Linked DNA regions of Saccharomyces cerevisiae S288C. The gene in region 1 interacts genetically with each later gene. Each region holds a gene or a part of one and is shown in the gene's direction. Other genes may lie near its edges.

Evidence for each region.
Region 2: mutations in CBP4 (region 1) and MBA1 together harm fitness less than expected from each alone (positive genetic interaction), as found in Saccharomyces cerevisiae (2 studies listed by BioGRID).

What each region holds. Positions count from the first base shown.
Region 1 is NC_001139.9:845,344-848,517, reverse strand, and holds CBP4 (Cbp4p), read left to right. Parts: upstream 1-2,112; coding exon 2,113-2,625; downstream 2,626-3,174. Other genes in the region: ERG1 (squalene monooxygenase), read left to right, coding at 95-1,585; YGR174W-A (uncharacterized protein), read right to left, coding at 1,777-1,863.
Region 2 is NC_001134.8:598,462-601,959, reverse strand, and holds MBA1 (Mba1p), read left to right. Parts: upstream 1-2,000; coding exon 2,001-2,837; downstream 2,838-3,498. Other genes in the region: PCH2 (Pch2p), read right to left, coding at 1-1,407; YBR184W (uncharacterized protein), read right to left, coding at 3,026-3,498. UniProt on the Saccharomyces cerevisiae protein: Mitochondrial inner membrane-associated mitoribosome receptor that spatially aligns the mitoribosome exit tunnel with the membrane insertion machinery and allows cotranslational protein membrane insertion.

The sequences.
Region 1 (3,174 bases):
ATATATCAGAACAATTGTCCAGTATTGAACAATACAGGTTATTTCGAACAATTGAAAAAAAAAAATCACAGAAAAACATATCGAGAAAAGGGTCATGTCTGCTGTTAACGTTGCACCTGAATTGATTAATGCCGACAACACAATTACCTACGATGCGATTGTCATCGGTGCTGGTGTTATCGGTCCATGTGTTGCTACTGGTCTAGCAAGAAAGGGTAAGAAAGTTCTTATCGTAGAACGTGACTGGGCTATGCCTGATAGAATTGTTGGTGAATTGATGCAACCAGGTGGTGTTAGAGCATTGAGAAGTCTGGGTATGATTCAATCTATCAACAACATCGAAGCATATCCTGTTACCGGTTATACCGTCTTTTTCAACGGCGAACAAGTTGATATTCCATACCCTTACAAGGCCGATATCCCTAAAGTTGAAAAATTGAAGGACTTGGTCAAAGATGGTAATGACAAGGTCTTGGAAGACAGCACTATTCACATCAAGGATTACGAAGATGATGAAAGAGAAAGGGGTGTTGCTTTTGTTCATGGTAGATTCTTGAACAACTTGAGAAACATTACTGCTCAAGAGCCAAATGTTACTAGAGTGCAAGGTAACTGTATTGAGATATTGAAGGATGAAAAGAATGAGGTTGTTGGTGCCAAGGTTGACATTGATGGCCGTGGCAAGGTGGAATTCAAAGCCCACTTGACATTTATCTGTGACGGTATCTTTTCACGTTTCAGAAAGGAATTGCACCCAGACCATGTTCCAACTGTCGGTTCTTCGTTTGTCGGTATGTCTTTGTTCAATGCTAAGAATCCTGCTCCTATGCACGGTCACGTTATTCTTGGTAGTGATCATATGCCAATCTTGGTTTACCAAATCAGTCCAGAAGAAACAAGAATCCTTTGTGCTTACAACTCTCCAAAGGTCCCAGCTGATATCAAGAGTTGGATGATTAAGGATGTCCAACCTTTCATTCCAAAGAGTCTACGTCCTTCATTTGATGAAGCCGTCAGCCAAGGTAAATTTAGAGCTATGCCAAACTCCTACTTGCCAGCTAGACAAAACGACGTCACTGGTATGTGTGTTATCGGTGACGCTCTAAATATGAGACATCCATTGACTGGTGGTGGTATGACTGTCGGTTTGCATGATGTTGTCTTGTTGATTAAGAAAATAGGTGACCTAGACTTCAGCGACCGTGAAAAGGTTTTGGATGAATTACTAGACTACCATTTCGAAAGAAAGAGTTACGATTCCGTTATTAACGTTTTGTCAGTGGCTTTGTATTCTTTGTTCGCTGCTGACAGCGATAACTTGAAGGCATTACAAAAAGGTTGTTTCAAATATTTCCAAAGAGGTGGCGATTGTGTCAACAAACCCGTTGAATTTCTGTCTGGTGTCTTGCCAAAGCCTTTGCAATTGACCAGGGTTTTCTTCGCTGTCGCTTTTTACACCATTTACTTGAACATGGAAGAACGTGGTTTCTTGGGATTACCAATGGCTTTATTGGAAGGTATTATGATTTTGATCACAGCTATTAGAGTATTCACCCCATTTTTGTTTGGTGAGTTGATTGGTTAACTACAGCTTATAAGGGAGAGAGGATAGGAACCGTCAAACATTAAGCTGCACCTTTTTTTTTTATTACAGAAGTCGGCTTGGAAGGCTTGTATAGTACATTACGATAAACACATCTTATTTTTATTTATTACTTATTTATTTTACATATTTTCAAAAAAATTCACATATCATTTATTATTAACCGAAGTGTTTTATACTTTTTGTTCTTTCCTTAAAAATGCCTCCAACAGAAAAGGAAAAATGGCTTGATATGCTTCAAAATATGCATTGAGATTCATATTCGGTTATCAATTAACGATATTACTTCCTTAAGTGATATTAAATCAAGCTTGCCGGATTCTGCAGTCAGAATTATACATAATAGTATTTGTGCTCTCGTAAATCCTTTCAGAATTACACCATAGTAGTCTTTGTGAATGTTCTACTTATTAGAATAGATTATTGCTAGTTTATCTCACTTTTCATTCCCCATATCCCTTTTTTTGCTCATCCCCCGGGGTATTTTATCAAGATAAAATTTTATATACATGCAGTGCGCGATAACTCCTAGAGAGGCAGTAATAGCAAAACAAAGACAGTATAAGCATTATTTGGGTATGGAAAGACCATTGTGGGTACGTTGGTTGAAAGTCTATGCAATTGGTGGCGCTATTATTGGAAGCGGGTTTCTGCTTTTCAAGTACACAACGCCAACAGATCAACAGTTAATCAGCCAGCTTTCCCCAGAATTACGTTTACAATATGAGAGGGAGAAAAAACTACGTCAGTCGGAGCAGCAGGCTTTGATGAAAATTGTTAAGGAAACTTCTCAAAGTGACGATCCAATTTGGAAGACGGGCCCCCTTCAATCACCTTGGGAAAGGAACGGTGATAACGTTCAAAGCAGAGATCACTTTGCTAAGGTGAGGGCGGAGGAGGTGCAAAAAGAAGAGTTGGCTAGGATCAGAAATGAACTGTCTCAGCTAAGATCTGAAACGGAGGAGAAAACAAAGGAAATAGTCCAGGATAAGCAGGTTAAAAGCTGGTGGCGCTTCTGGTAGATGGGTCGGGTCACTCAATTAGGAAGGGCAGCTTGAACTTTTGCATCCTAAAACATACGTCTGTGTCATTTATGATATATTATTTATTTGTACACTGTAAATAGGTTTAAAAATATAACTTCATACTTATTTTTAGCTATTTTAGTTCCCATACTTGGGGATGGAAAAAACATTGCGCAAGCCCGGAATCGAACCGGGGGCCCAACGATGGCAACGTTGGATTTTACCACTAAACCACTTGCGCTTGTTATTTATATGAGATTATTGCATCATGCAATGGGGTAATGTCAAGGTTCTTGACAATCCTAATATAAACAGTCTTAGGGAAGTAACCAGTTGTCAAAACGGTTTATCAGCTTGATTCACGGGATCTTACTTATCCTATATATTATATAAAATATGGATCATACTAAATGGTGGAAGCGCGGAATCTTGGATCTAAACCAATTGTTCAGATACTTATACGTTAGAGTAGGTTAGCTAAGGAAGGCAGAGTTTTATTTTCATGTTGCTCATTCTGTTCGTTTTGCTGTAAGGTTGTTTCATATG
Region 2 (3,498 bases), on another chromosome or scaffold:
TGTTGGATTTCCAACATAAAAAACTCCATCTGCTCGATCAACAAAAGCATCATCTAATGAATCTAATAAATTAGACGTGGCTAATGCTAAAAAGTTATGGTATTTTTTCAGCCTGTCAAGTTGCGTAAGTAAAGTGTTCACAACTCGGATTCCATCTGTTGACTCATTTCTACTTGACAAATTTGTTCTTGAACTTGCTATTGCTTCAACCTCATCTATCAAAAGGCATATAAAGATCCCTCGTCCCTCATTGACCTTTAAAAGCTCCTCAATGTCTTTGAATACTATTGATATATTTTTTGACGATTCTCCAAACCATTTAGAAAAGATGCGTGCACAAGACAATTCTATTATTATCCCCTTATAATTAGTATCAATGGTATCGGAACCGTCTGAAAATTCCCGCCTCACAGATAATTTTTGGCAAAGTGCTTTGCATAACGTTGTTTTACCTGTTCCCGGAGGACCATGGACAAGGAGTAATTTATTATTTGTGATTAGCGTTGTAATGTCTTCTTGATTGGAGTCTCCAGTTTGTTTGAATCTTGCTATCTTGAGAGATATAGTTGCGTAGCTATATAACCTTTCTTTAATATTGTTACCAAAATACAACGATTCCCATTGGCCCTCGAAAGTTGTGCCTGGAAGATATGATATATTTACTAAGTTTAGTGTTTGCTTACTTAGTGGAATGTCAAAATTTCCCACCGAATTGATACAATTGTTTAAAGTTTCTCCCTCAAAACCATCATCCTCGTCTAGTTCTAAGTCAATCTTGTCGAACTCTGTGGACAGTATGCTGCCATTTTTCAGCTCATCTTGCTCTTCCAGACAGCAAAAGGGATATATAATGAACTCGTCAACAGATCCCATGTGATAAGTGTCCGACTCGTTGGTCTCCTCTGAATCTAAAATAGAATCTATGTGCTGACCCAAATTTATTTTCTCATGAAAGTTCAATTTAATAGAGACGTGTGATGTGGACTGTTGCTCTATAGAAATTTTTTTAACGAATAAGGATAGAAACAAATTATCTTGTCCTTCATTTACTGTGTTAACTTTGCCATTTATGCTTGAAAACTGGTGTAATAAAACTTTTGCTAGGCTTCTAATCAAATGTTGTTGCGCCTCCGTTGGTGGATCCTTAATTTCAATACTTCCTTGCCCCTCTCTCATTAATTCTTGGCCAGTTATAATCGAAGTCTTTAAACGGTCTTTTGGGAAACTTTCCAACTTCCTCTTGACCACTGCTTTTAACAGATTCAAAAATTCTCCCAGCTTTTTGTTGCTGTTTTGTTTCGAGTCAGAACCAGAATGTAGAGAAGAAATTTGCTCATCCTCTCTAAACATACATTTGATAACCCTCAGAGATGATCCTCGCACTTGTAGGTCAACTATGTAGCTCATATCCTTATTTTATGTCTTCAGTTTGAGATCAGAATATTTTTATGAAAATGTTGTCACTCTCTTTTAACCGCCTCGCATTTCGTAGATTTGCCGCCCACCTTATTGTCAACGGCAAATCTAAGGATATATATACATATATATATATTTTTGAGAAAGATTATATTTTCGCCAACGATGAAAAAGAGAAAAGTACAGTACTATGTATTATGTGTTTTTCAACTCAAGAGAGGGGCAAACATATAACTGGTGCTATATATGATTAAGGCTGCGCTCAAATATACTTCTTACTTAATTGACTGAACAATACGTTGATAAGATGAAGGAAGAGTCTCAGATATTGGTTTCACAAAAAATTCAGAGAATGGAGTCATTTCGGTTACGGGCAATCTTTCGGTGATTGGTACGGAGTATCGCGATCTTTACACGTTCCACTAGTCAATCCAATCCAATTTATTCATTTGTCCGTAAATATTCTGCCGGCCTTCTCCCCATATTACAAAATAAAAAAATAAAACCTGAGTAATGGAATAGTTGGAAAAGCAAGGCAAATTTCCATCAGAAAGCAAGCCTATCCATTCAGCTAAGCTTATGAGATGAGTGTATTAAGATCTACATGCCTTTTCTTCCCTCCAAGATCCTTGTTGATATCATTTAACAAGCGGCGATTATTTTCAACTTCGAGGTTAATTTTGAATAAAGAAAGTGAAACTACAAAGAAGAAAGATAAAAGTAAGCAGCAAGATTTTAATCCTCGGCACCTGGGTGTTGCTGCCGAAATATTTATCCCCTCGGCTTACAAGAACCTTCCAAATGTATTTGCTCATCCTCTCATTGTTGCAAATGCATTGATCAGAAGACTTTACACGTTTGGTTTGAACTCTGTTCAAGTCGCATTGTTTCGTTTTCAATCAGGCATTAAACCTTCTTTTTTACTCTGGAAAAACAAAGCCATAGAGACGTATATCAATGTAAACACGTCATTTGCTCATAAAAATTTGTCGGACATCAAAGGGTTAGTTTCATTATGGGTTCAGGAAGCTCTCGAGGCTAGGTCCCGTCAACTTCCAGGTAATGCAACACTGGACTGGCAGTTGATAAAGTTTAATGCAGTTCCTAAACTAGTCTCAGTGCAACCAATCATGATTCCCGGAATGCCGTTAGAGCATTTACAGTTGGTTTACAAATTTGATACGAAGCAAAGACTAATTAAAGTCAATCAGCAAACTAAGAAGACTGAGACGTTAGACCGTGACGTTGTAGACTATATTGCCTTTTTGTGTGATGCTACAACTAATGATATGATTTTAATGGGATCTTTGTTTGAAAGTAAACCAAATGATAAATTACCGAAAAGCTACGAGGACGATGCTAAAGTTGCCATACACAGAATGAAAGTTAACGGTGATATATATCGTTTACCTCCAAGCTAAGGCAATATGTATATAAATGCGAAAAGTTTTGGAACATCTGTAAATAGCCATTGCTTCATTTGAGTTTCTTATTCCACATACCACTTACATATTCAGTAAAAACTATTCATTTGTTTTTCATTCTGAAGTATATATATTAAATTTATTAAATAGTTTTTCATGAAAAAAGTTATTGAAGCATCTCCCTTTCAATAGTGCATTAACTCTCCCATTCTAACCCATCTTTCCGTTGAATCGTCATAGAACAATGTTTCTGACAGATTGGTTTTCCTATAACGATCTTTGCAGCACAATCTGTGAAATAATTTCCATAAGCCGGTAAGAATAGTCCTGTTATAGCTGATACTACCTTGTACATAATTCATATCACTGAGCTTTGCTTCATCTTTTAGAGGCTGAGACTTCTCAAAACCTTCTGCGCTATCCAAACGATAGGTGCTGATTTCTTTTAATGCCAATGAATTATTAGAACACTTCCTACATTTAAGAACAACCTCTTCCTCGGACCTTCTCTTTCTATTTTCTGTATCAAAAGAACTGTCTTTTTCAATTGCTGCTGTGTTGTGAGGAATAGATCGATAAAGTACTTTTTTTTGCCCTGTTCGAATAACAAAAAGAAATAATGTCAATTCATTTGCACTGTAACAGTAATCAGCGCTAA